Linked DNA regions of Rhinolophus ferrumequinum. The protein of the gene in region 2 binds, or shares a complex with, the protein of the main gene of each other region. Links are inferred from orthologs where the notes say so. Each region holds a gene or a part of one and is shown on either strand. Other genes may lie near its edges. The genes, in order: INTS1, INTS2, INTS9 and INTS6.

Region 1 (7,163 bases), on a different chromosome or scaffold from region 2:
CTAGTTACCAGTCAGCATGTGCTTCTCTGAGGCCCTCTCAGAAGTGCCTCGGCTCTGTCGCACATGCCCTTTATGTGGCACTTATTTCTGTTCAGTTTTGGATATTTTCTAATTTTCATTTTATCTTCTCTGACCCAAGAGTTTTTTGAGACTATGCTTCTCAATATCCAAATATGTGGAGGGAGGTATCGTTACTGATTTCTAACTTCATTGCACCAAAGACACCCAGAAACAGTCACTGAATGCTTTCCAGATGCCAGGAAGGAAAGACAGATGGGTGGGACAGACGGACGGATGGACTAGAATTACGGCAGATCCTGCCTTGAAGACATTCCAAGTCCCAGACATGATAAACAGCCCTTTGTTTTCTAAAGATGTTTGTGAAGTATGTTATCGTTCAGAAGGTTTTTAATAACCATATTTTATTTAATTTTCAAAACCACCTTTTACGGAAGGTGATGCTAAAAAAATAACAAGCACAGGTAGTAACTCAAAGAGCTGTGGCCTGAGTTGGACCTCAGCCCGTCAGGGCTCAGTCCTCACCAGCACTGGCCGCACAGGTTAGGGCCCCTGAATCGAAGGTCAAGGTCAGAGGCAGCGCCGCCGGACTCATTCCCAAAGCACAGTCCCAGCTGAGTCCTCGACTCTGCACGTCCTTGGGGCTCCCAGTGCTCCCGCCACCGCTCTGCATGCTGCCCACATGCGCCCGTGCCCTGAGCACAGTCCCACCTCCAGGACACAGGCCTCTGCTTAGTGGTTTCTTCTCCAACATCCCTGACTGCCTCTGAAAATCTGATCAATCCTTCAAGGCCAACGTCACATTACAACTTCCAGATGAGCCTTCTCCTCCCAAGGCTGTCAGCTAAGTACCTATTCCTGCACATCTGGGACCGGCTAGATACCTAACAGGTCTGATCTACAGGATGTCATGGGGTCACCAGAAATAATCAATGTGAAGAAGGCAGAGAAGCAGGGGCAGTTTCAGATGCGTGCAGAACCAGAAGCTTCATGTAAACAATAGGATCAAGGTAAGTTTCAGATTTTCTTCATGTTGTATTAGTATCTTTTTGGCTAAAGGGGAAAAAGGAGGGTGGTAAACTTTTCGTTGTTTGTGTCTGGGGCGAAAGGGAAAAGGAATGCAAACCTCCTCATCCCAGTTAGAGAGGAACTCACGAGGTCGCACAGCCTGAGTGAACAGCACCCGGTCAGCCTCGGCACTGCGTATCCCCAGTGCTTAGAGCAGAGTCTGCCATAAAGGGGGGCCCAACAAACACGTCTGACGGACAAGTGAACCAGAGGAACCAGCCCATTCCAGAGGACAGCTGCTGGCCATCTGCATCGACTCTCACAGCAGCTCCTCCCCAAAGGGGAAACAATCCAATCTGTACAGCACGTCCCAGTGATGAAGCACTGCCATGTGCTTGGTCTGCTCAACTGTAAGAAGCCAGCCTCCCACAGAAGGCCACTGAGGCCGGAGCCGTGATACGCCCAACGTCCACGCCTGCTCCTGCCATGCGGCAGCAGCACATTTGGGCCCCAGACCCAGCCCCTGTCCTCTGCTCTTGCCCTGGTCACGTTCCTCATCCCTGTCCTAGAATTTGGAAGCACAAGTGGGGTAAAGTCCCCTGTGCGAGAAGCACCTTGATGAACAAACTCACAGATGACCCCTGTTCTCCGTTCTCCAAGAACCTGCTAGCCTTACAGCACGAAGCCTGGACTGGGCCTTCACTGAAGCCCTGCTGGGCTGACAAGGTGTGGGAGACATTCTCTGGGAAGTCCAGGGACCAACCTTACCTTCAATTGGGACCACAGATGGTTCTTTAATCGAGGGAGAGATAGCGCGTTTTTCTGCCACTGCGGCCTCAGCCAGGCGCCCCAGGGCACTCAGAGGGGGTGTAGAGGAGAGTTTGGGGCGTTTGGTGAGGCCAGTCAGGGCCGAGGCACCGGCCAATGCGGCCGCAGCATCCCGCTTGCGCTCGGAAGGCAGGCCGGAAGGGGCAGGCTTCAGCAGGGTCGATGCCGTTTTCGAGTCATTGGCCTGACCCTTTGAGCCCAGAGCTATGAAGTCTCCTGGCGGAGGGTGCCCTGCAGAGGAGGGAGGGGAGAAATGTGCACCTTCACACGTCGGTGGAGGTGAATCCAACCTCCCGCTGTTCCAGAGGAGCAGAAACAAGGGTCATGGGTGACAAGAAAACAAGTCGCCCAGCACGTCCACAGCAGAGCTGGGACCAGTATGACGTTAGTAACGACGATGCTGACAGTCACACACGTTTACTACACACCAGGCCATCTCTGATGCACACGCGTTAGTTTGCTTCCTGTTCAACATGTGAGATGGGCATCGTTACTCTCACTTTACAGAGCACAACAAGGCACAGAGAGCCCAGGTGGCGTGCCCACGGCCACACAGCCAGCGAGTGGCCAGGGCTGATCTGCGGCCAGCCGGGCTCCAGTCTGCCTGCAACCACCCGCCTCCGGGCCCGGGAGCTCCTTCAGCTACTTTTTACTGCCTGCGATGCAGGACGAGACCAGCAGTGTCCTGGAGACAGTCACAGCTGTCCCAACTCTCCCTGGGACTCAGAGAGCCGCCTCGGACCAAGGGCCAGGCGACCCCCGATCCCTGAAAAACGGTGGCCGGCGAGTAACTAAGGCCCCGCCGCCGCCGCAGGCAGGAGCCGCGCACCTGAAGGCTTGGCCGCAGCGCTGGGCCTGCGCACGGTGGTGGGCTTGGCTCGGTTCATTCCGGCCCCTTCCCCTCGCTGCTCCTCGCTGTGACGCGTCACCCGGGAGAAGACCAGCGCCGAGGCGGTCCTCCACTTGCTCGCTCATTCATTCGTTCCTCTGCCGCTCGGGGTCTGGGGGCGAATGGGCCCCGCCGGACGGAGCGAGTCCGAACGGGCCGCGTGAGCGCCGCCTCGGATCCGCCGGGAGAGTGGATCTCGCCGGCTGCCGCCGATCTCCTACAAGTGGCCCACGGTACCCAGCGCCCCACCACCACCCCGGCCGCCCCGGAACCGGAAACCGACCTCACAGACCCGACTTCCGGGATAACCGGAAGCAAAACAGCGCAGCGAGAGGAGGGCGGGCAGGGCGGTGAGATGGGCCACGTCGCCTGCTCGGTGCCTGCAGCGCCCTCTGGCGACGGGAGTCCGGAGGGGCCTCTCTGCCGCTTGTGTCTCTCCGGAGAGGAGGCAGCTGTCACCCTCTTTTTCTGCAGGTGAGGATGATGTGATTTAGTGACGTGCCCAAGGAAACACGGCGAGGAAGGGTAGCATCGGGGTTCAAATACACACGTGCTGGTCCTTCAGAGTCCTGCTCTCCCATTTATGGCTCAAGGGGCAGGTTCTGGGGTCCCTAAGGTGGAAGGCTAGGAGGGAGCCCAGGGACCAGGAGTGGGCACAGTGCAGAAGAGCAGGAGGGGCCTACAAACTCCAGCCCGTCCTCGGGGCATGGAGGCCAAGCCCTAATCAGAGTCGGTGTCCTGGCCTGCACAGTGGGTCACTGTCATAGTCACCAAGGCTCCTGATGCAGAGGACGGGGGCTCCATGCTGACGGAGACTCTCATGCCCTTCTGTGCTAAGGGTCTCACCCATCCTAGAGCTTCTCAGCAGTCCTGGGGCTTCTTGCTGTAGTCCACGTCCCACCAGGAACAAGGAACTGAGAGCAACAGCCCTGCCTGCAGCCCGGCCACTTGCTGGGTGACCTCCTTGTGGGAAAGCCCTGAGGGCTCCCTCAGAGCTCAAGCCCGCGTGAAAGGAGACGGATGCAGGTAAAGACATAGCACATTCCCAACAGATCACGCGCTGCAGAAAGGCCGCTGGCATAGGTAAACAGCACTGGGCGTGGGTTAAAGCTGTGAAGCATCGTGTTGAGTGACTACTGGCAGCGAGGGGAAGCTGAGCTTTGGAGGGAGCAGAGGGAACGGGGCAGAGATCAGATGACAACTCACAAAAGGTGGTCAGCGTCCATGCACTGGACCAGCTGTGTCTGCTGGCTGGTAACGGTCAAAGTCAGGGGTGCGGCAACCTGGACTGTCAGTGCAGCCACGGGGCGTCCCGTCAGCGCTCTTCTCAGAAGCTGCTGCAAAAGGACCAAACAACCCTTCTGTGATGGAGCAACACAGTCCACGGTCAGCAGAAAAGCTGGTTATAGACCAGTGTATAGTAAGTGACCGCCTCTATCTAAAAGTAGACAAATTCTGGAAAGAAATACACCCAGTGGTTCCCGAGGTTACAGGGAGGGCAGGCCATGCAAGCCATCCATTCGCTCTGTGTTTCAGTATTGCAATTATGTGAATTGTTTCCACTAGGAAAAGAAGAAGAGTGCACTTGTCCTGTGGGGCTGTCACGGGATCTTCCCTCCCATGGCCGGCCGCTCAGGTCCCAGCCTTCCCTGCCCAGGACAAGTCAGGCAGGGCGGCGGCCAGTGCTCTGCCTGTGCTGGCCCCTCCTTGGCTGGCTTTCTCTGCTCTCTCTCACTGGACAATCTCCTCCTCATCCTTCAAAGCCCAGCCTCCCAGCTACGTCCCTTCCTCCGTGAAGCCCTCAGGCTGCCCCACCCCAGCAGGCAGTGGATGCTTGTCTACTGGCCCCTCTGTCATGGACATTTGCTGTGCTCAGGGGCAGTGCCTCCCTAGGACCAGCTGGCAGAGCAAAGCCTAGAGAAGCCTGGCTGCTTGGGTCTGGGTATGGCAGTCAGAGGGCGTGGGGTCAGATGGACACTTCACTAGCAGCTCTGGAGGACTGTTTCCCCTGAGGGGTCAGCCTAGCCAGCCCAGGAAGGAGGAAGAGCAGCGAGGGGCCTCAGTAGCTGCAGTTCGTGGGGGACACCAAGGCTCCCCACAGATGCCTCTTGTGTGAGCTCCCTGGGGTGGCTGTACCGCACCCCAGACCAGGTGGCCTGATTCAGCTTGAGACGAGGTGTTGCAGGGCACTCCCTGCAGAGGCTCTAGGGGACCGTCCTTCCTGCCTCCATCGTTGTCATAGGGCCATCTCCCTTTGGTGTGTGTGTCTCCTCTTCTGGCTCTTATAAGGACACTTGTCATTGGATGTAGGCCCACTCTAATCCAGGACGACCTCAATCCTTATGATGTACAAAGAACCGATTTCCAAATAAGGTCCGTCCTGAGGGTCCGTGTGGGTGCTGCAGCTCTGCACCAAGGACCCTAGGCCTGGGATCTGCCTCCCTTCTTCTCGCTGCCCTGTCCCAGCACCACGGTCTTGTTGCAGTTTCTGGAACCCGCCTTTTGCTCATCTCAGGGCCTGTCCTCATGCTGCTCCAGTGTCAGGACCCTCAGGCATTCCCATGGCCCCTTCGCCCTGCCTGGCCTTCCTCTTGCCCTGTCCCTATAACCACGGCCCCAGCCCCCACTGGACACCTTCTTTTAGAACACTGCCACCCCTGGGATCTTGTTACCCCCCTATTTGTCTCTTTCTTTATGGCCTGCCTCCCTGCCCAACGTAAGCCACCAGTGAGCCACCAGCCGCACCTGGTCTGCCCGTCGCCTGCTGGACCCAGAGGCCCTGCCACAATCAGTAGATGTGTGTGGGATGAGGGAAGGATGAGTGTGAAGCCTTCAGCCCGGAAGGTCCCATACAGGAGCCATAATTGTTAGGAACTAGGTTCTCGGTTTGGCATGGAGGGAAGTATCAGGCCTCGGACCCCCACGGTCCCTGGTCGTCTTTGCTGTGACCCCCCCAGCCACAGTGAGAACCTTCCCCCCCTCTTTGGCCTACTGACTGTGTGGTGGGCTCCCCCTCACTGCAGGAGGGAGTTCCTGCAGTAGAAAGCAGCCTGGGGCAGCCAGCAGGGTGGGGACAGAGTGAGCAAGGACTTGCCCCAGGCCCCCAAGGGGAGATGGGTGACGTGGCAGGTCTGCAGCTGCTCGGGTCTAACGGCTTCTGGGCCAGGAAGCAGCTGCTCCCACCTGCGTGGCCTGGGCCCAGGCCTCCCTGCGCGGGTCAGGTGTCCCTGCCCAGCCCAGGTCTGGCACTTCCCAGCACTGTGGGGGGTGGGGGTGAGGTGAGGGACTCTGGGGAACAACCGCAGGGTGCCTGTGGGGCTGGTCGTCTCCCACCTACCTCGTCCCCTAAATGTAGTAAGTGCTTCACCAGTGCTGGAAGCCCCACAGCAGCTCAGTGACAGTTTCAAAGCAGTGAGTCAGCAGTTATCAGGACTCAGATGCCCTTTCCTGGGCGGCACGGGAGACCCATCTACATTCAGATGGAGGTTTCTAGAATTTCCTCTGTTGATGAGCATTCCTGGGAGGGGCAGGTGGGTGCGGTGTCACCGCTGGAATCTGCCAGGAGATGCCACTGGGCTGAGGCTCTCGGCCAGAGCAGGAGGAGGCGACAATGACTTCTCATGGGCCGGTGCCCAGGACCCTGGCCGCTGGACGGAAGCTCCAGCAAGGCAGCCTCTGGCGGGAGGCGGGGAAGTGCTTTCCAACAATTGTCTGAAAATAGACCAGGCCGGCTCACGAGGAAATGAGTCCCCCATCACGGGAAGGGAGCAAGAGAGAGCAGGAAGACTGCTTCGCAGGGGGTGGACCTAAGGTCTCTGACCCCGAGAGGCCCTGAGTCCTCCAGTTTTTGGATGACGGGCACCCCAAATGTTTGGGGATGTGAAGCTGAGGAAGCAGGACTAGGGCACCAGCACCTCACCTGCCCCCCAGGTGTGCTGCTGTGGGAAAAACTGCGGCTCGCCAAAACAGGACTTCCAGGGGTGTGCCTGGGGTGCGCTGGGCACAAGCTGACTGGGCGGGAGACATTCCCTCCCACTGACACCTGTGCCCCCTCGGCTGGACCAACCCCCTCAGGCCTCAGTTTCCCTTTCTGTTCACTTAGGCTCAGGCAAGCAGCTCTGGGGCAGGAGGGCACTGGGACGACCTGATTTTACCTCTTCTGTCTCACTGTCCCTACACGATCAAAATGTCCCCAACACTGTTGTGGGGAGGGGACGGGGTGCTACAGAGAATTTTGTTTCCCTGTTTTAGCTTGTTCAAGTTTCCTGCAAAGAGCATATACTATGTTTGAAATTAGAAAAATATCCTCATGCACTTGCCTTAAAAGTAAATAAATAAATATCCCGGAAACCCAAGCCATGTCCTAATCGTGGTTCCCAGGCAATGTTTTTCACTGAGAATCGCCACCACCAACTCACAC
Region 2 (6,845 bases):
CAGTTACATATCACACGTTATGAGAGAATACCTATAACGGTATTAACAAATTCGGTAGCTTATACAAGTCTTGAGCTATAGTACCTTTCTAACTATCAAGAAGCCATTGTATGGGGGTGGCCAGATGGCTCAGTTGGTTAAAGGATGAGCTCTTAACAACAAGGTTGCGGTTCAACTCCTACATGGGATGGTGGGCTGCGCCCCCTGCAACTAAAGACTGAAAACGGCGACTGGACTTGGAGCTGAGCTGCACCCTCCACAATTAGATTGAAGGACAACGACTTGGAGCTGATGGGCCCTGGAGAAACACATTGTTCCCCAGTATCCCCCCAAAAAAAATTTTTTTAAAATTAAAAAAAAAAAAAGCCATTGTATGAACTCCATATTAAAAAAAAGTCCTATGTTAGAGAATGCAGAATAGGCATAAATGAGAGAAAATAGTATTTAAGAGAAAAAAAAGCCTTTAAGGCAGGCCTTTAAGATCCTTTCAAGCCGTTGAAAGGAAAACATACATAATGAATAGGAATGGGTGTAGAAGAGGACAACCTGCCTGCCTTCTTGCCTCTGTTTCTACCTTCTATGTGTAGACATCATCAAATCATGCATATTTTGAGCTGTCATTAAAATAAATGCACCTTGTTCATAATTGCCAACAGTTCACTAAGCACAAGACGCAATCGACGAGGTGAATCACTGTGTTCAAACTCTAATGTCAGTCCATGCTGAAGCTGTGATACCAGGATGCTCTCTCCAGTGCCTCCTCCAAGTTTATGCCTGATAAAGTACAAATGTGTAAAACAATTATGAGAACACTGGTATAGATATAATTGCAGAAAAATTATCTTTTATTGAAATAATCTACAAAAAAGTTGTATAAATTCCTTGCATACATTTCATGACTGAATTACTTCTGAAATACTATTTAGTTTGCCTATTTCAGAAATTCACGAACTATGTAAAGATTTCATCACAAATGATAGTTAACACCCACTGCCATTACCAACAGTGGCTCACTACTGGATTTATAATGGGAGAAAGACAAAATATCTGACCAGAATTTGGGGGGATATAGGCTTAAAAAGCCTCCCAGGTAATTCCAATAAATCCCTCTACTCTAGGGGAACTCAACCTACCCACCTCCCACAGAGAGTAATTGGCCTAATCAGTTTAGCCTGAATACAACAGTGTATATAGTCAAACTTCTCTACACAACATTTTATAACATGGAATTCAAAAGAATTTTAACCATAAATAGACAAAAACAAGTAAAATGCTCTCCAAAGTTTAAATTCTCAATCTTCTCTTTTCTGGAGGGCTGTATCCAATAAAAAGTCTGAAAAGCTCCAAAAAATATTTGATTCCTTCATCTTTGGCAAATCCAACTAAATCCTAGTCCACATATTATATAACTGACATTACCTAAGCTGCTGTTCTTTGCTGGCATCCTGTTCTAAAGCATGGAAGTCCACAGACAACAATGCAACAATGGAGTTGACAGCTTCCACTCCAGAGAGAAGGCGAAGGATGAGTTTTTTATCCTGGGCCCAGCTTTGGCTCTGGTCCGCAGGAGCACAAAGTGCCATCCGCACCAAGCAAGGCAGGAGAAGTCTTAATTCTGGATCACTTAAAGATGCCAAACGAACCACATCCACCTTCTGCATTGCCTCAAAAGCAAAAGGGCTGACAAACTGAAGGCTTGTACACTCAGTCATTATCACTCTTGATCCTAATGGTAAAAAAAAAAAAAAAAGAAAAGAAAGAAAATAGGGGTGTATTCCCACATGTACCAATGCCCCTCTTTTTTTAAACACCCTGAAAAATGTGATCTATCTTTAAAGGGCCCCTATGTTGGCAACAGATTTCTGGAACAAGTACACGCTCCCTCTGTTTCTACCACCATCTGGAAGATGACAAAGAAAACAGAATATATTAATGTCTCTTCCAGCCTTAGGGAGCTTCTTTTCTAATACTCTTATTTCGCAAAGAAGAAATATGAAGCCCAGAGAGATTAAGTAACAAGACCATACACAGTAATATTAACAGTAGCAAAAGCCAAGGATGACCCTTCGTCTACTAAATCCCAGTCCAAGGCTGTCTCCACTACACTGCTCATGAGCGCCACAACTTAGAATAAAAGTAAATAGATGGCATAATTAAGAATGCTCTTCTTCCTACCTCAGTTTCACATGCTTACACAATATATGTAAAAAATGTTCGACTCCAAGAGTCAGCATTGGTAAACTGCCTCAATAGCTAGAAGCAATGGCAGATTCAAAGTTCTGGAGGCCTTAACACTATCCTATGTACCACAGGTAAAAAACAATTGTGGAGGTGCAATTAGCTGTGGAAGAAAGCTGAGTCCCCCTTGGGCACTTCTGTCTTCAGGAGTAATCAGAGACAACAAATAAAAAAATAAAAAGGGCAAGGACCAGTCTGCCAAACCCATCATGGGTAACAGTCGTGGCAGAAACGCTGCTTTTTAGCAAGAGGAGCTGGCCTTTTAACAGAGGGGCGGGCTGATGGAGCAAAGGCGCCAGGCCCCGAGTGCTCATAGGTCTCGACCCGGGCGTAATGAGAACCAACCGGTCCCTCTGGCTGAGAAAAGTCCGACGGGTGGCCGACAAGGGCCGGGGAACGCGCTGAGGCCTGACAAGCCGAAGCTTCATACCTTAAGATCTAAGCTCCAACCTCCCGGGACCCCACACGAACTCCGCACCCTACAGGCGGGACGCGGTAGAAATCGAGAGCGCGGTCCGAAATGGGGCCTACGCGATCATTGGGATTCCCCAACCCTAGCTGTGCCCTGAGTCGACCCCGGCACCAAGAACCCAGACGCCGGGACCAATCGGGTCAGCGGTGCGATGGGAGTTGGGCGGGGACACCGCACAAAGGGAGAACCCAGACTGAAGGGAGCGGAAAGCGGAGACTGCTTCAACCTGCACCCAGCACCTTCATTCATCCCCAGCGTCTGGCTCCCGTCGGCCACCGTACTGGACTGAAAGGAAGGACGGCAGCGAGAGGAAACCCAGAGGCGTCCGCGCTGAGGCATCGGTGCGCCTGCGCGGTCCCACCCCTTCCTCCCCCGCCGTTCACTCTGCCCAATTTCTCCTCCGAAGTACGTTTAGAGCTTGCTACAGGTCCGTTTCCCAGAGCCTATCAGCTGTGTCGTTTTACATACATCATTAAGCCCCTTCGAGCTGCAATTTCATCATCACAGAATTATCGTGGCATTCAAATGATAACGTAGGTTAAAGTTGTACTCACTGTTCTTTGACCGGAACACTAATGGAACCACTCTCTCTGCCTATGTTCCCTCTCAGCACCAAAGTTCTAGAATGCTAGGATTTCGAGGAAAAATTAAAAAGGAATCTAATCCCGAGCCTTCTTCCGCTCTCGACCTCACAGAGTTAAAACATCTGCATTTCAGATGTTTAAGGGTTCTTAATTTACGGTCTGTAGATCCTTAGAGAGCAATGGATGGAGTTTCATTTTAGAGATCGAGTACGTCATAGTTTCCAAGCCTTTGACAGAGGGATAATCTCTAAAAATAGGTCTACTTTCAACATGAAAAATCAGCAAAGGAAAAAAAGAATATGTTGGTTGCAGTGTGTCTCAAATGTTTTTCTGCCTGGCCTCCAGTAATACATTTTACATTGTGCCTCAAAACACAGATGCAGATATACCCGCATTTAAATATGGAACAAACGTTTTATGAAATAATACACATATTGTTATGTATTCTATTTCACTTGACATTTCTGGTCACTACACACAAATTGATTTCACAACTATACAACATTTCCATTTTTAAGATGGTATTTATTAAGGACTTATATATTGAACACTTGCTAGGCACTAGTACTTTATATCTTATAATTACGTGATTTAATTCTGTATTTCCATTTTACAGTTGTGGAAATTGAGACTGAGATTAAGCAATTTAATCTCCCTGGTTGGTCCTTTCACAGAAAGAGTATGAAGAGAATTCAAACACGGGTTTGGGGGATGCGTGAGAAGATGGAAATGAACTGATTTTTATGATCTCTTCCAACTCTAATTTTTTATGACCCTGAAATCATTAGAGAAACATTGCAGATCCATCTTGATCTACAGAGAACAAATCATGTCCAGCCTGAATGAGATAGCTAGAGTGTAATGGTGATGAGTGCTGACACTTATCTTCCTTCAATTCCCCTTTTTCTTCTCTTCCAATTCTTATCTCAGTAAATATCACCACCAACACCAGAGTTTCTCAAGCCATTCCCCTTCATATCCACTTAATACATTTTTCAAATCTACATTGTAGTGTTTGTCAATGGAATCATTTTGACAGTCATACAGAACTCACTCATAAGCTTTTGAGTTTTAGAACTGTATCCTCCGAGGCCGATTACTTAACTATACTAAAATCAATTTATAAAGACTTTTCAGCTCAGATGTTTAATTAGGCCGATTCAGGAACTCCCCGAATGGCAAATAGTGCTACAAATTAGCCCATTTAATTGCCAATAAATCACAAAACCTTTAATTATCTAAGCAGTATCTTACATAATTAGGGTGTACCTTTTCCTGATTGTAAAATGTTTGAGGAAATAACCCTTTTTGAAGACCAATGTAGCACTGAGGCTCATTACCATTTCTATTCACAAAAAAGATGTAATTAATTCTGTGATGACTTTTTATCACATTTTAACATCTCTGAAATTGTGATGTCTTAAAATCAAGTGTGTTAAATTATACTTAGCATTTTTTCTTAGTGTCATATAAAATAATGTCTTACAATTACTGGTGTCTTAGATTTGATGAAACATATTGTGTAGTTCCTACACTTTTAAGTCGCGACTCCTTCGTGGATGAAGTAAACATTCACCTCTGACTGGCTTACTTTGATTTACTCTTTTCTACTTTATTTTTCAGTCTGCCTGGGGAAAGGGAGGAGAAAGAAAAGAAGAAACAAAAAGGAAAAAAATTACCTAGTTTCAGGAGTACTAGGTGCTTTAACGTAGCTTATTGCTGAGTAAATGAACTTCAAGAAATTAGAAGATTGAGGTAAAGGAGGACCAATGTTCTTTGGAAACAAAATCACAGTTTCAAAAGTAAAAGGACCTCAGGAGACACCTAGCTTGTTTTCTCAACATGTAACTCATTCTCCATAGTGTGCCTCTTTTATAAGATTTCTTCCATTGTTTCAGCCTGTCAAGATCTTTTGGACCCTCTTTTACACTGGCTATCTGCTTTGGCTATACAGATCTTATCTTCATTGATTTTATAGATAAAATGTTGACTAGAATAAGATCCCGCCAAGGTTCTATAATATAGCATTAGAGACGCCCCACCAAGTTGACATAGCTCCACTAATCAAGCCTTTTTGGGTATGATTGTTACGCCAATTATGAATCATCCCAAAGGTCAATAAAGGCAGAAATGAACATGTTTGATAGTCAGTAAACAAGACTGACAGTCTTTTATGACTGTTTACAAGGAAGAGTTTGTGGTTTGTACATTTGATTTAGCTATTGAAGAAAAACAAATTCCTTCTGAGTAAGCCACTCAATAGCATTTTTCAGGGTTCCTTTTTTTTTTTCCTTTTTTTCCTTTTTTTTAGTTTCAGGTGTAGAAAACAATGGAATAGTTAGACATTTCATCCCTCACAAAGTAATAACCTCCTTCCCCCAATCTATTTCCCCTCTGACATCGTCTGTATGTTACAATTCCATTGACTATTCCCTATGCTGTACTCCATATCCCGTGACTATATAATTGACATACAAAATTATTCACCTTCAGGTGTACAGTGCAGTGGTCAGGCACAGGGCTTCGTTTTCAATACTGAAAACTACAAATAGTAAAGAAAGGTTGTATGTAGTTGTGTAAGTAAATACCTCCCCCTGCCTCACCCCAAAAGCTTGATTTGCATAGTTATTTTTAGTCATACATGATAGTAAAAAAAATATTTAAAAACTAGAGGTAATATAAACTGAGACAGAAAATAATTTTAAGATAGAAGTTCCAACAACATACACATCCTTTTAAAGAATTATTTTAAAAGTTCTGCTGGCAGAAGCTATTCTAAAATGACCACAATTATGGAGTTTGTCCTTAAGTTTGGACAAAAATATTTAACATGGTCGTTTATACAAAATGGACAGATCTATTTTTGATGGATTGTTCATATCTGAACAACACTTCTTAAGTTTCAAAAACATTTATGTGATCCAAAAATAGGATAGAACTATGCTTTAAATATTTGAAGGTAGCTTGTTTAGACTAGAAAACTGGTATCAAACTGATCAGCCTAGGAGGAATTAGTATGTATGTGCATATACAATTTTCCTATACATTATATGCTGCTATTTGATTAAAATCTATTTTTAAAATAAAATACTTCAGATGGAGAAGTTAAAAGTTCATCAATTAGTTTTTAGGTTGCCCCTCTCCATTTGTAAATGATACAAATGTAATATTGCTATTAATTTTTACACAAATTTAAGATGGAAATATTTTCAACAGAATGAGACACCACAATGAAGGCTTCATGAATAATTTATTCCATTTGAAGTTTTGTTTTTTTTTTTTTTTAAAAAGTATAAACCTTTTCATTTCCTCAATCACAATTTGTACAACTCAGTGTTATGGCATTCGGCAGCAATAGTGTTTGTTCCTTATTCTTTTTTCTGTCACGTTAAAAAAAAAAAAAAAAGCAATTTGACCATGTTAAGTGTCACTGCTAAACAACAACTTTAAAATGCCCCTTCATAAAGTGACCAAGCTATTTTGAGAGTTGATGCTGACACATGTCCAGTAATGACGTTACAATTTATAGTTTAAATTCAGTAACTTTAAGG
Region 3 (7,946 bases), on a different chromosome or scaffold from region 2:
ACTCCAATGATTATAGCTTATTGTAATGTTTAAACTTTACCCCTCAATCTTTTCTCAGTGATATTCACAGACCTTGATAATCCTTCAGAGATGATTCATTCAACTGCTATTTAGCAGCGTCACACTATGTGTCAGGCCCTGGGAATAGAGAGTCTACAAGAGGGAGGACAGAAATAAATCCAATAATCACAAATGCTACCAAAGGAAGTGTGCCATGGAAGCAGAGAGGAGGGCGTACCTAATTCCACAAAACCATGGAGAAGTGCTATTCAAACAGAGACCTGAAGTATATAAAGAAATTTAGGCAGGCAGAAAAGTGTTGTAGGCAATGGAACATATTTAAACTCCCAGAGGCAAAAGACAGCAGGGAGAGTTCAAGGAACTGGAAGATGTGCAATATAATTGGAACACAGAGAACCAGGGAGATGAGGGCTAGACATGAGCCTGGAAGTAGGCAAGGCCATATTCTGCAGGACCAAGTAAGTCAAGAGCTATAAGACTTTATCCTAAGAACAAAGGAAGCTACTGAGGGAATTATAGAATTCTGCAATTTAAAACAACTTCCGGAAAGCAGGGTAGTGAATGAACTGGAGAGAGGGTTAAAATGGAACGCAGGGAGACTAGACAGAAGGTCTCGTTGAATTTCAAGTGTCAAGTGAAAAGAGTCCCTACAAAGGCAGTATTAGTGGGACTGGAGAGAAACAGACCTGTTGAAGAACAGAAGTAGCATCAACAAGATGCAGTCATACGCTGTGAGTGGGAAGGGTATTTTGGCAAGTCATAATCTCAAAAACAAGAATGTGCTCAATAAAGTATATTTCTGTGTTTCATGATATAAATGTAAAGCACTGCTTACAACATATTCTTGAAGCAGTACACAAAGTGAAAACATTTAGGCCATGGGAGGATTTATACCAACTCTATGGGAGGCGTGTCACACAAAGAGACGTCTAATGAAGTCCATCTTTTTGAAACCCGTTTGCTATGTTGACAGAAATTCTGCATTACCACTTATCCAATCCCAAATGAGTTTTAACATGGAATACATCGATTGAACGTTAAAAAGGAGGGACCATAGACAGAACACCTCCTCTTCCTCTGAGGCATCTTCTGGTTCTTACAGAAAAGAAAATAATTTCTACTTTTTTCCCTTCCATGTTTTCACATCTCTAAAGAAATGAAGCGGGAGGATATTATGAGCAAACCAAAGTATATTGAAAGTAAACCACGGCTCTCTGATAACCTCAGCAATCGAGTTTGTAGGGAAAAACTGCATCACATTTGCATGCCTTCTCACCAGGCACACCAAATGTGATTTATCCTTTCTTGAAGACACATGGTCTGTGCTCCAACCATTTCGGCACAAGCTCTTTTGCTCCTAAACTGAAGATTCAAGGAAGGCCCTCGGCTACTCATCCTTCTTATCAGTTCAAGAGTCACTTTTCCAGGAAGCTGACTGTTGGCACCACGCCCCCCCAGTCCCCGCTCAGCACCATCTCCAATTATCCTCTCAATTCCCCAACCCCTGAAAAGGACTCTGCTTTATCACGAATGCAGTGAATTATAATTTTGGCTTACTTTTCTAACTTCATTAGATGGCATGATTCTTTAGGGCTAGGGTGGTGACTTTCAATTCTGCATTCTTAGGTATTTAGCACACTGACCCAGGAGCAAATTGATAATCTCAGGGTTTCCTGATCTTCATCCTCTTCCTTCCATATAGGACTTTAAATGAAGACAATTTTGTAGTTGAATCTACTTTTAATACTTTTTCTAACTTCTTCTCAGAAAATAGCGACACAGTGACGACACTTGGCTGAGTAAATACATACCCATCACATGGTTTAATGGCCAAAGAGGGGATGAGGGGGATATGTATACTTTGGGAAAACATGTTCAAATAATTATATAAATGGAAAAAGAAAATAAATCTTTTGTTTTTCTATAAAAATCACAGAAAGTAAAGCTTGACAATATTTGGCTGCAGGAACATGATTTTAAAAGGTGTGGCATCTCACACATGCTTTGCTACTCTCCTAATTATGCTATTAATTCCACACAGTTGCAATAAATTAGTTAGGTCTGTGTGCACAATGACAGTAAAATGGCTAAAAAGAAAGGCCTGAGAAGCGTCCCTATAAGCCAGGTGTTTGAGTTTTGTGATGGGAAGACGCCAGGTGTATTGGCACGTTCGTCTAACCTTGGCTCATGAAGCGCCTACAGCCCCAGACTGTAATCTTTTTTTTTTTTAATTTGAAGATCTAATTGGCTTTATTAAGCGATTCATGAATCAGGCAGCCGTCTATCTAGCCACTAGCAGGGCGCTCCTGAATGTAATACGAGTACCTCCTCTCAGCCTATCCATATCCTCCACAGGGTTTAAGACTCAAAGCCTCTAAGAGTACACCCTAACCTCGGCCTTCTCTGACTTCCAAGTGCAATTAGGAATCAATTAGGAACAGAAAACTTAGTAATTACCCTCCTCCCAATATTACCCTTTGCCCACAAATAACCAAATGTTTCTCAACAACGGTAGTGAAATCAAGTGTCAATTGCGTGGAAATAAGTTTATAACCTATTATAACACTCACGTAGCAGCTGAGAAGTCAAAAACCTAGTTCATAAATCCAACCTTAGTTCCTCGGTGAAAAAATGTTACAGGCAACCTCTTATCTAACCAAAGGGACCCACCAAGGATGTGTAAGATCTCCTGATAGTTGTGTATGGGGGGTGGGAGGTGAGGGGTACAGAGGTGTGATTTTTAACCCCCTCAACAACAAACAGCTTTGCTTAGTCCACCCCACTTTCTAGTTTCCTAATTGCCACCCATTTTTCGCGATGGTTCCCTTCCCAAGGTGGAAACGACGAAGCCAAAAGGATATGGCCACTGCCCTCAGTAGGAGCGGAGACTCACCAGTTTCATATTGGACTTTTGATTGTTCAACACCAGTTACTCGACACCTCAAACCCAGAAGCGATCTTCCGGTTCAAGCTCCGCCACTCGCCCGCAGAGAGCATCGCGGGACATGCAGTTTTTCTTCCCTACGCCTCCTTCTCGGGGCATTATGGGATACGTAGTCATCCATGTATCATGGGAACTGTAGTTATCTTTTCTTTCCCTCCCTTCTCTAAATACCTCCTTCCGTCAGCTCAAATTCATCCCCGCCGCCAATTCATCCTCTCCACCCCAGCATGATATCATGTCCCGAGTCTGGGCCTGGGTCCCATGGTATTCTGGGATGTGTAGTTCTCACGGCTCGGGCGCCCCTTTCTCCTCCTCCCTGTGGGAAGGCGGATGGGCGCGGGACTTGCCGGGAGTTGTAGTTCCCTGGGGCCTCTGGACGCTGAGTCGCGCGCTTTTACTCAAGGGAGGCAGGAACTACAACTCCCAGGGCCGCCTGGCTGCAGCAGGTGGGAGCGGGGCTGTTGATATCAATATGGCGGTTGTCAGCCAGACAAAGACAGTCAGTCTGATGTGATTGAGACAAGGGAGGTTTTCAGGGGGAGACTGGGAGATAGGGGCCTCCCCTCCCCCTTCTCCTCTTCCTGCGCGGACCTCAACCCCTCCCCAGTCCCCTCCCGACAGGCGCCCCACGCGGAAGACACCCCTCCCCCTCCCGCCTTCCCCTCCTCCCTATCTCAGCTCTTCGTACCGGGACGTTGGGGAGGGGGCTGTGCCGAGCGGAGAGAACTCAGCAACGATTCCGAGGTGAGTCGAGAGGTTTTCAAGCCGGACTACCTCAAGTCTCTTTCCTCACTTCTTTCTCCTCACTTTTTTTTTTTTTTTTTGAGGGGCTTTGGGGCGAAAGTGAGTGGGCTGGGGATAGGTCTCTTAAGCGGCCCGATTGAGAGGAGGGAGGAATCAGGGGGCTCCCGAATGGTGACCCGGTCGCACCGTCTGGGGTGGGGCAGTTTGTGGGGGGCGGTAATTGAAAGGCGTTGGCAGCTCCCCAACTCTTTGCTCCTGGTCTCCTTCACTATGGGCGGAAGGTTTGAATCCTGGAGGTGGGGTCTCCTATGTGGAGTTTGGGAAACTGTGAGGTGAACCGGAGGTGGGTGGGTTTGTTTGGGGGTGTAGAACTGTTCTAAACTGTGTGACGTGTACTTGTGCGATATGTTAGTCTCGAATAAATGTCTGGAGATGGGAAGTTCGATAGCTGGAGCCATAGCTTTTCACTGGGCCTGGGCAGGGAAGCGGGCGTGAGGTCCGGATCCTGGACTTGTGGGCTGGAGGCGACGTGGTGCGGGCTTAGCAACTCGCTTGTGTCCCGTTGCTCGATCGCACTCCTCCTCCCCGCCTCCGCCCCATGCCCTGGACACATCTCCACCCCAAACTGCCCGCAGGAGCATTGTGGGGACGCGCTGGCGAGGAGATGGAATGTTGCCTCCTGAAGTCGGCAGATAAGGTGGGAAAGGAAAAAGTGTTCTTAATATTTTATTCCGGAACCGTGTTTTGGTGACACTGTTGGGGCTACTTTGAAAGGAGTCCTCCACCCACCCTCACCCCGAAACAGCAGGTAGAGGTAGCTCATCTTCTTCGCGTTAAATAGATTAAACATCACTTAAAAGAGTCGTGGGCATGGGTTGGGGGTCGGGAGTGCTGACAGGTGTAGGCATCTCTGTGTGTCTACGAAAGACACAGAATGACTGTTGTCTGTCCTGAGATAGGGCGACTTATTTTCGTAGTAGGGAAAACTGTTGGAAATTATTTGGAGGTGGGGGTGGGGTGGGGGTGGGGTGGGGGTGGGGGTGCGGGAGTCGCCGAAAGCCGCTGTTGGTGTTTTGCTTCTACCCCACCCTGTTCAGTCTCGCATTTGTCTGAAACCTGGTGTGGAAGAGTGAGGAGGCATTTGGTGAGTGAAGGGGAGAATGCAGTTGGCATGAAAGCTACTATACTATCTAAAGTTGAATCGTATAAAGTGATTGCTTTTTAAATGTACCTTGAAGCTGTAAAAACCCTCGTGTTTCATATGGCGTAGAGTGATGTGACTAGTTCATTTCGCTGGGATCCTGCAGGTATAGAGACCTCAGCCTTCCCTTTTCCTTTCCTCCTTCTTTCCTTCCTTCCTTCCTTCAGTCCTTCCTTCCTCTCTTGGCCTGGTACGTTTCTCTTCCTGGATGGACGTAATGCCTCTTGTGCCTGTTTAGTTTGTGCTAAGACGGTTGTGCTGTTTGTGGTTTTGTGTGTAAAACACATCATTAGATGAAAAGGACCTGCGTCTGTTTTTATTTTGCTTTTAGCCACAGGTAATTATCACATCAAGATGAGAGTGTTTTGCATTAAACTTATTTTAACATTGCACAACTAAGTTAGATTTAGTTGAATTATGTGTACAAGACAAGTTTGGAAAATTCGAATTCTGATTTTTTCCCCCCAAGTTTCCAGTAGAGTTATAAAGGGAACAGGATTGTAACATCTCTTGTTTCTCACAGTCTTTAATATTTGGTAACATTACACCAGGATAATTTAGGATCATATATTTTGTACTTCTTTCTGTCTGAAATAGAAGTTTTTCAGTAACCTTTCTCATGTGACAGATTTTTTAGTGCAATGGACTTTTAAATAACTAAAGCAATTGATATAATTTCTCATTCAACTGTTGAAAATTTAGTGTGTTTACATTTTGGCTCCAAACATCAATTCTTGAACTTATCAGTAAAGGACCTTCGATTCCATAAAAACTGAAAGTCACAGAGATGCAATATATAATTTATGGTGTGTTTTATAACCTTTCATTTGAAATTTCTGCAGTTGATCATTCACACAGATAAGCTGACTCTAAGCATGAGATAGCATATATATTTAGATTGACCTGAATAGAAAAAAAAAATTGATGTCTTCTAAATTTCGAATTTCTAATATAGAATATATTGCTATAAAGCTGAGCCTTTAGTTTGTTAAAGACTAAGATTTCCAGACTTTTTAAACCTTCTATCTTAGACTGTAATATTACTTTGCAAAAATTGGAGAAAAATCCTACATAACTTCACAATAGAGTGGTTTTTTTTTTTTTTTTTTTCCGGGCTGAAAGATACTCTGTTAGACATAGAACATTAAAATATTCAATAATTATATTAGAAATATAAACTAAAATGTTTGTTAAGGATTGGAAAAGATAAGAGTATTTTTTCTTCCACCCACCTTTACCTCAGTTTCTTTTTGTTTTTTTCTGTGGAAATGCAAAGTTATGGGAAAAGCTTTCGTTCAACTTTCTCTGTCTAGTCGTCTGGTTGAAATAATTAAAAGTAAACCAAATATTTTCCTTGCATTTGTTGGGATGATTCTGTTGTATTTTAAGCCCTGAGCATTAAAATGATGTAAAGCCTTTACTGCAGGTTAAAGCATAAAACATTCTCAGCATGTGGAAGTCATATGGTTTACGAAAAAAGTAGAAAATCAGGGCATTGGTGCCTGTCCAGCTGAAGATTTCATCCCGTAACTGTAAAAGACACATTTATTTGAATATGATTGCTTCTAAAAATGCCGCCTGTGTTATGGGAAGTTGAAAATCCAAACTGTTTTTAACCAATCTGTTGCTAGTTAGTGTACTGCATATCGTGAACACTGTGGTTGCAAATGTGCATTAAGAAGCCTTTAGGGGTCAGCTTTACGTTGAATATCTTTTTAGTGAGGCTTCATTTTCACTACTGTAGTAACAGATTTCAGTCTCCTTAGCACAAATCCTTGGGTTAAAGCATCACTAATAGAAACTTAATAGCTCAGTGTTGATAAGTTACAAAGTAGATTGCAACAAATCTCTCCTTTGTTCATCATTTGAAAAATTAGAAGTAGCTAATTTATGGCAACTTTTGTGGCAAGTATTAATTGGAAGTCATTGCTTGTTTCAGTAAATGGTAAACACAATGGAAGTATCTATGCCTAATTTGTTCATTTTGGGTCTTTCATATATTATAATCAGTCTATCCCACTTTTAATGTTTCAGACAGCTTCATGGTTCCTATAAAACCGTGTTTGTTTTTTCTGTTCATTTCACCTCAGCTTTTTTATATTCAGATCTTTAAACTTGAATTATTTCTTTTGGGAATTAGAAATTTATCCTGCAGTGTCATTTTTCATAAATGTAAGTTGGTGTACCCCTCAACTTTTTTAAAATGTCAACATTTATAAATAAAGATGCTCGGTGAAAGAGTGCTGGCTTTGTTTGTTTCATGAACCTTTATTTAGATTTTTTTGTCTCCCGAGTTAATTTTATTATAGTTCCCTTTGCTCTTTGGCTAGATTTTTCTCTTAACTGCTAGCTTCTACTTCTCAATTGAGTAGAACTTTAATTTCTAAAACGGTTGTTATCAGTGGAAGTCCCAGTGTGTCAAGAGTGTTATGTACGTATATTCACATATGCACTCACACATGTACAGCACCTTTATGTTTGTTTGTAGATGAAATTAGTATATACCTATCAAACATACAACCCATACAAAAGGAAGCTGAACCACAAATAACAGGAGACGAGAGAATGGCTCAGGCTAGAAACCAGAGAGAAACCATCACCACATGCTGTCCACATGAGAGAAGCCATGGAGATTTTCATTATCATTGTAAACCATTACTTTAACAGATTCTGCCAAAATCTCATTCTCTCAAAATGGAAGCTATTGGTATGAAACGTTTTTCTCAAAATCATACTAAGTAATATGGGACTTAGATTCCTACGTGCAGCTATTCCCCCCGGTGACCTTTACTGGACTTAAGGCCCATCATAAGTACAAAGATTTTTCCGAGTGATTATTTGACGTAAAACTTTTAGTTAGAGCCTATTTAAACATAATCCAGTGCTTTAGATAACTTGTTTTTCTTGATCTTAGATGAAACAAGTTGGAAATTTACTATAACATTGTCTTGGACACTTTCCAAGAGCATTTAGTTACTGGAAGGCCCTGGCTTTTTTTACCCTTATAGTGGTAATAAGGTTGAAGTTACAGTAAGT
Region 4 (6,834 bases), on a different chromosome or scaffold from region 2:
TCACCTGTTTATCTGCCTCTGTCTTTCCATTAGATTATAAACTCTCTATGGCCTACCATAGTGCCTGTCATATAGGTGTGCAATTAATATTAATTTTAAAAATTATTGCAATTTTCATGCTCTTTTGCTAGAGAAACTGTTCTACTGTGATTCTCATTCTCAATTTGGATATGTCACTTTCAGAACTGATCTTGAATTATCTCAAACTTCAACTATTACTGTGAAATACTGCTCAATGGAAAGGTCTAATTCCTTTTAATAGTAGTCCCTAGCAGCATGTTTTCCTGAGGATTGATATTATATAATATTAGGATGACCAAAATACATTTTCTTGTATATATATTACCTGAATACATTCTGCTGCATAGTTTCACATCTAATTTTTTATGCTTATTACGTCATTTTTTTGATGCTCTCAACCTCTCAACATCATTGACTATTTGTGATCTCAAAGAGTAAAAAGCAGAGAGCTAAGGAAATGGTAAGTGAGCCAAAAGAACCATTGTTAGGTTACACATGAACACTAATCTGATTATTTTGTTCAGATGGCACATCCAGAAACCATAAGCCATGTCATTGGCACATAATTATTTTTAAACCGTGTTTACCCTGTTTAATTGGTTTAAAGTAATTTAAAAGGGCTCTGGTTGGCTTCTACAAATCAATCTAATTCATCAGTTTTTTCAATTCCGTTAGAATAGCTCTATTTACACAATTTAGGCTATTGTTAAGCCCGAGTCACCATTCTTTCAGAGGGTTTCATAAAATTTATTCATTCTCTTTTAAATGGGAGCCACAGCATTTGGGCAGCACTCCTTTAAAAGCAGCAGTAAAGAGCAAGTTTTCTCCCACTTATCTCTGTTGACCAATGCCCTCCCAGAAAAATCTTCCTTAATTCCCTAGACTGCAACAGCACAGGGCTTAGCACACACTACTCCAACTAGTTTTCTCTCTAGCATTGCAAGAGCTCACCACTTCTTCAGTTGAGTCTGATGAAATAGTTGGCTTGCATTTAGGAGCCATGTTTTAGAAAAATAAGTTGCATATAACCAGAATCTTTCTAGAATCACAGGGATTGAGTAAAAAAAGAGATTCATGTTTCTCATGTTTCCCAAGGCCTAAAGTCACCAAGAAAAACAGTGGGAATCTCTCGCACTGTTTAGTCTTTGTAATTAGCTGTCCTGATCTTTGTATCTAATCCTGGCTTTACCATACACCTCCACTTATGACCCTAGTATGACAATCTGCCAACTCCCAAGTTAGGGAAGAAAGAGCGATGGCTCCATGGAAAATGACTTCAAATAACTGCAATAAGGTAGTAACTGTAAAGCATGGTCACCCACTTCAGTAAGCTAGTTTGATTCCCTTCAAACACTGCTTTGTACCAGCACCCCATCTAAAAACTCTCATTTATACGGAAACAAAAATCCTTAGCCTGGAATAAAGGCTCTCTACTGTCTAGACATGACCTACCTTTCAGGATGTTATCCTATTCTTTGTGTAGCTGGTGCGGCAGTCTTGCTGTATGTACTTCACTGTTTCCCAGAAAGCCATTGACAATGCTGTGCTAACTTTCTTCACTACATTTTAAATGTCTAGGACTTTTTCATTGGCAGCTTCCTCTTCCTCTACCCATATATCCAAATCCTTTAAAGGAGTATTTCTCAAACCTGAGTAATGTAAAATAAATTCTTATGATTCTATAGAATACATTTTTAGACAGGCAGGAGTCCATAGACCACAGTTTGAAAAGGACTGACATAGAAAAACTGTAGACCAATTCCATGAAAATCAGTTGCCAATTATCACGTTAAAAAAAATATATATATATTATTATATATAAAATATATATATAAAATATATTATATATGTAAAAAATATATATATGTAAAAAAATATATATATATTTTTTAACTGGTAAAACAATTTGTATATTGTCGTTAAAATGAAAACAAAAATTTTAAAGCATCAAAGAATTCTGAGTCTTAGCTCCAGATCTAGGACCCCAGTTTGAGAAACACTGCTTTAAGGCACAGCTTAAACATACTGACCCTGGAAAATGCTCTTTCATCACCCCAGGGTAATACATTTTCTCTTTTCTGAGTTATTTAGTATCTAATCACTTCTGCCTTGTAGTAGCTAGTAATACTAATGTAGTATTTTTCTAGAAAAACTATAAGCTCTTTGAAGGCAGGGACCATATTTTAATCATTTAACTCCACCTGGGGTCCTCAGCAAATATTGCATGTAAGACCTGTATTTCATCTTATTTAGCAGTCCCAATCTCTTTAAAAATCTCTCTTCTATGGCACACACTCACAGGACAGCGTATTACTGAAATAGCCCTACAATAAACTAAAAGTTCAGAGGTTGTTTTAAATATTAGGAAGAGTCCAAGTTATGAAAGTGAAGATTTTTAAAAAGGGCCACAAAGCATGTCTCTTCAGTGTTAACAGGAACTACTTCTTAAAATGATCAGTAAAGAATTTCAGCGTGAAGAGTGAAACAAAAAAACACGCAATGCAAGGCCTAGTAAGAGAGGCCCTAAAAAAATCCTACAGTCTTATGAGAACTATTATGTCCCTAATTCAACTTGTATTTCAGGCAGTATTCAGTTTTTTAACTAGTGTAGAGGATTCATTACTTCAGGTATGACGACTGAGGCTTGTTTTAACCTAGAACGCCTTCCCTCATACTGTATTTGAAATGAGTGTGAGAGGCAGCAAATAGTGAAAGGAAAGCACAGACAGGGTTATGGGAACCCCATTCTCTGGGTCACCTGGGCAAGCTGAAGTCAGTTTTTTCATTTAAAAATAAAGAGTAATTCATTATGGTTTGCTACCGCCCCTTTTAGCTCTGAAATCGGTATTCTATGGCCCTTAAGTAAACAAGGTTTGAGAGAAGTATTTCGTTGGGTAGAACCGGTTATTTTCCCCTAAGAATAAAATGGGCAACAAACTGTTTGTCGATATTGAACTCTTTTCCCATCCCCTTTTGGGGCTGTTTGAAAAAAGTGGGTTGAATCCTTTCTTGGTAGGTCCTCGAACAAGAGGGGTCCTGGCCTGCTCCGAGTCCAGCCCTCACCCCGGCTGCTCCCCAAGGCTGAGCGGAGCTGCGGGTGAGGTTTGTCTTTCGTCCCCACTCCCCAGCGGGAGCGCTGTGACTCGCGGAGATTAGTCCCTCGTCATAAACAACCTCTCACTTCCCTTCCCCCGCTCTGGGTCCGCCTACGCTGAGGCCGGCCCTCTGAAGACCAAGGAACCTCTTCCGGAGACCGCTGGCCTGCCGCCTTCCCCTAATTGGGCGTTTGATCCTATATTTATCCCCTCCTCATGTGCCCACCAGGGAAGGGGCTCGCTACAGCGACCTCGGAAGGGGAGATGAAGCGAGCCTCCATTTCCCCTCCCTCGACCCCTATCACCTCCAACAGCCAAGGAGAGGCCGGCAGCACTGACGCGCAGACTCAGCCGCTGCTGTCCTGCGCGCGCCGACGCGGCTCCCACCCCCCCCCCGCGATCCTTCCGCGGTCCGTCCCCGCCCATTCCCGGAGCCCGCCTCCGCGTCTGCCGACCCGCCTGCTCGGCCCTCGCGATCGCTCTCGCGCGCACCCGACGCCCCGCCTTCGCGCGTGCTCAATAACAGTTCTCGGAGCCGGCCTACAAGCTTCTCCCTCCCCTGAGCTGTTTGAATATGCTAATAAGAGGCTAGAGATTAACGAATTGAATTGCGGGGCGGTGCGTCACGTGGCGCGAGGACGTGTCAGGAGGCGGAGCCGCTGCAGCCCCTGCCCGAGTTAAAACCGGAGTGTGAGAGAGAAAAGCGCTTCAGTAGCGAGAGGGGCTGAGAAAGTGGTGACACAGCCGGGGTGCGGAGGGAGTCCCTGAAACTTCTCCCAACAGCCCCAGGGCCAATCTCCCCTTAGCCCACTCCCCTCTTCGCCAGCTCCCAGGTCCCCACTCCCTGCACCGGGGGTGGGGTGGGGAGCCAGGCCCGTCTCCCGCTGGGACACACACAGGGGCCGGGAGCGGGGACGGGACCCCCGAGGCGGGGAGTACGGACCGACAGACAGACGGCCGGGCGCCCGCCCTAGCGGGCAGGCCGGCAGGAGGAGGCGGAGGAGGGGGTACGACGGGGAGGACTGGGTCTGGGAGTTTCCTCTCAACTATCGGGGGAGAAACTCCCCGCAGCCGGAGGAAAGACCCAGACGGTGTTTTCCTCCCGGGGGCCGCGCTCCCCCGCCCCGCGTAGCGGCGGTCGCCGCCGCCGCCACCGGCGCCTCCACCTCTACCATCTCTTTCTCTACCACCTCGGGCCCCGGTGTCCCCGGCCAGCACTATGCCCATCTTACTGTTCCTGATAGACACGTCTGCCTCTATGAACCAGCGCAGCCATCTGGGCACCACCTACCTGGACACGGCCAAAGGCGCGGTAGAGACCTTCATGAAGGTACCGACTGACCGAGCCCGGGCGGCGATCCCGGCCCGGCGGCCCGCGGGCGGCTGGGGTGGCAGGGAAGGCGGCCGGGGGCGGCGAGGCGGAGGTGTCGGGGACCTGACTGCGGGAGCTGCCGGGCTCGGGGACCCCCTCCCCCACCGCGCGGGCGGGCGGGCGCTGCGAGCGGGGCTCGGCCGGGGCCCGGGCTCCGGCCCCGGGAGGTGTGTTGGGGCCGATCTGTGTGTGGGGGGCGGCGTGAGGGGGTGGCCGCTGCGTGTGCGGTACTGGGGGTGGGGGGGCGGTGGGGCCGCTGGGCACCCCTTCTCCGCCTAGTAACCTCGCCTCTGTGCTTCCCTCTCGCTCGCCCTGTTTCTTCTCCCGTCCCCCACCCGCTCTCCCGCAGCTCCGTGCCCGGGATCCTGCCAGCAGAGGAGACAGGTATATGCTGGTCACTTTCGAAGAGCCGCCCTATGCTATCAAGGTAACAGCCCTCGCCCTCCCCCTTCCCTTCCCAGTTCCTTCCTCGCTCGCCCTCCCCGCCCCCCATTCACCCTTCATTATGCTCCCCTCCCCCACCCGCTGTGCTCCAGGAGCTGAAGTCTTTTCCCCTGCGGGCTCCCACCCCCTCCCCCGCTCCGGAGCGCCCTGGCGCGGCGCGGAGTCGCGGGGCCACCGCCATGCCCTCCCCAGCCCGGCCCGGTGGCGGCAGCGGCGGCGGCGCTGCGATCAACATGGCCGACATTTCCCCTCCGCGGCGTGAGCGGCAGCAATGAACTGTGGGGGATATTTATTCAAGTTAGCCCCAGTGACAGCCGGGCCGGGCCGCGCCGAGCCCGGGTTTGCATTAAAGGGGAATCGGCCCGAGGCTTGGCCGCTCTCGCCCTTGCTGGCGAGTGAGCCGGTTAGGAGGCTGCGGGGCTTGGTCTTCGGATTCTTCCCTAGAGGGCTGCGGGCCAGTGGGACAGCTGTAGGTTAACTTCAGAAGTCCTCATGTCTGCTTTCCACTAGCACTTTGCATCCCCAAATTTTGGGTATTAGGTTAGAAGTAAATTTCCCAGAGAAGTTCCAAAGTAGTTATCCTGTTAGCTACCAAAAGCAGTAGCGCAGACAGGTTTATTCTTGGCCACCTTTGGAAGAGAGTTTCCTCAGCAATGATACGATTTTAACACATCATTAACCAAACCATCCTGAAAAGTGAAGCAGCTACTTGATGAACCACAGATTGTAATGGCTGTCCATGTATGCAAAGCTTTAAAAAATAAAAAAAAGTCTTAAATTTTTCTTTTCAGGCCGGGTGGAAAGAAAACCATGCAACGTTTATGAATGAACTGAAAAACCTTCAGGCTGAAGGACTTACGACTCTTGGCCAATCCCTAAGGACAGCTTTTGATTTATTAAATTTAAATAGATTAGTAACTGGCATAGACAACTATGGGCAGGTAGGTTGAATATTAAGGTGGAAAAAACAGTTGATTTTTCTTTTTGTGGAAAAACACAGTCCAGTCCAAAACTACATAACATGAAATACAAGTATAAAACATTTCAGATTAAAATACACTGTACACATAATACAAAAGTGAAACTGACTAAACTGTATGTGGTTTTATAGCCTTTTTTTTCTTAAAATATATTTGCATTCAGAATTAGAATCTGAATTCTTTGCTATAAGATTGACATAAATTGGTTTTAATACTTTGCACTCAGGGCATAAAAGGGAAAACATCCTGCCTCACCACACAGTTTCTCTGATACTCTATCCACAGGCAGTTAGTCTGCAATGAATTATAGACACTAGTTGATTAGTGGTCTTCATTTATATAGTACTAAAAACGTTAGAGGAAATTATTCTATTTGTTGTATCAGGGTTTAATTTAACCATAGTGTACAACTACTCTGAAAGGTAAGATTTTCATTAAAGTGTCATAATTGGCTGAATACATGAAGATTTCTCAGCTTTTGAAGCATATATAATAAGCAACTATGCAGGAAGGATTCTGAATTCATTCCTGAATTAAATGGCAGGTCCAGAGGTTATTTATTTATTTTTAACTCCAAACTCTTGGAAAAGAGGCTGTTTGAAAATATGAAAGAACCTTTCCTTCCTTCCTTAATGCCCCCCTTCCATCCACACTTGCTTTTATCTATTTGAAGATGAGACAGGAGCTTTAAATCACATGACGGTTCGTTATGGAATAATGTAAGGTGGTCCACTGTAACTTTTTTTTTGAGATTGCTGGCCTGGAAAATAAAAGATACTGAAGAATGTGTAATGTTACACATAAAAGTATTAAACCCAAGGAATTCACTTTTTATGCTGTAGTGCAAAGCACTGTTACCACAATGATACATTTAGGTATACATTTTGTTCTTTTCCCAAATTCCATAAGCCACGGTTTTCAT

Evidence for each region.
Region 1: the proteins of INTS2 (region 2) and INTS1 are in contact, whole or in part, in a cryo-EM structure (PDB 8RC4), measured with the Homo sapiens proteins. The link is inferred for Rhinolophus ferrumequinum from reciprocal best matches to the Homo sapiens genes INTS2 and INTS1. Residues at the interface, in NP_065799.2 of Homo sapiens: Pro40, Leu54, Lys69, Leu72, Arg73, Leu75, Ser76, Gly77, Val78, Glu79, Val81, Asn82, Val85, Gly125, Thr127, Leu128, Glu131, His132, Glu166, Val172, Tyr173, Glu176, Arg322, Gln325, Gln326, Arg329, Gly400, Lys402, Thr769, Met772; in NP_001073922.2 of Homo sapiens: Gly561, Ile562, Ala563, Trp564, Asp565, Lys566, Gly567, Ser982, His1055, Met1056, Thr1058, Pro1060, Glu1095, Arg1096, Thr1098, Ile1099, His1102, Leu1107, Arg1225, Ser1250, Phe1251, Gly1252, Ile1253, Tyr1285, His1288, Glu1291, Val1292, Gln1293, Glu1295, Arg1296.
Region 3: INTS2 (region 2) and INTS9 share a complex: the UniProt entries of both Homo sapiens proteins name them as parts of the integrator complex. The link is inferred for Rhinolophus ferrumequinum from reciprocal best matches to the Homo sapiens genes INTS2 and INTS9.
Region 4: the proteins of INTS2 (region 2) and INTS6 are in contact, whole or in part, in a cryo-EM structure (PDB 8RBZ), measured with the Homo sapiens proteins. The link is inferred for Rhinolophus ferrumequinum from reciprocal best matches to the Homo sapiens genes INTS2 and INTS6. Residues at the interface, in NP_065799.2 of Homo sapiens: Ile855, Asp856, Pro857, Leu858, His895, Arg923, Glu925, Leu926, Lys927, Ala929, Leu930, Ala932, Ala933, Gln934, Ser936, Ala937, Gln940, Ile941, Glu944, Asn1010, Lys1013, Leu1014, Phe1017, Gln1018, Gly1019, Tyr1020, Pro1021, Ile1046, Ala1047, Gln1048; in NP_036273.1 of Homo sapiens: Ile484, Val486, Arg487, Ser488, Arg489, Phe527, Gln528, Val529, Ala530, Leu531, Leu532, Asn533, Phe541, Arg542, Asn543, Ala544, Tyr545, Ile547, Arg549, Leu552, Leu553, Leu556, Met559, Arg560, Asn562, Leu563, Leu564, Lys565.

What each region holds. Positions count from the first base shown.
Region 1 is NC_046307.1:43,930,752-43,937,914, reverse strand, and holds the start of INTS1 (integrator complex subunit 1), read right to left. Parts: upstream 3,015-7,163; 5' UTR 2,742-3,014; coding exon 2,684-2,741; intron 2,086-2,683; coding exon 1,795-2,085; intron 1-1,794. UniProt on the Homo sapiens protein: Component of the integrator complex, a multiprotein complex that terminates RNA polymerase II (Pol II) transcription in the promoter-proximal region of genes.
Region 2 is NC_046304.1:25,988,848-25,995,692, forward strand, and holds the start of INTS2 (integrator complex subunit 2), read right to left. Parts: upstream 3,022-6,845; 5' UTR 2,960-3,021; coding exon of another isoform or gene 2,956-2,959; coding exon 2,937-2,955; exon of another isoform or gene 2,669-2,936; intron 1,727-2,668; coding exon 1,420-1,726; intron 775-1,419; coding exon 636-774; intron 1-635. UniProt on the Homo sapiens protein: Component of the integrator complex, a multiprotein complex that terminates RNA polymerase II (Pol II) transcription in the promoter-proximal region of genes.
Region 3 is NC_046301.1:29,853,033-29,860,978, forward strand, and holds the start of INTS9 (integrator complex subunit 9), read right to left. Parts: upstream 3,010-7,946; 5' UTR 2,924-3,009; coding exon 2,915-2,923; intron 1-2,914. UniProt on the Homo sapiens protein: Component of the integrator complex, a multiprotein complex that terminates RNA polymerase II (Pol II) transcription in the promoter-proximal region of genes.
Region 4 is NC_046287.1:86,291,267-86,298,100, forward strand, and holds the start of INTS6 (integrator complex subunit 6), read left to right. Parts: upstream 1-3,821; 5' UTR 3,822-4,335; coding exon 4,336-4,446; intron 4,447-4,837; coding exon 4,838-4,915; intron 4,916-5,723; coding exon 5,724-5,873; intron 5,874-6,834. UniProt on the Homo sapiens protein: Component of the integrator complex, a multiprotein complex that terminates RNA polymerase II (Pol II) transcription in the promoter-proximal region of genes.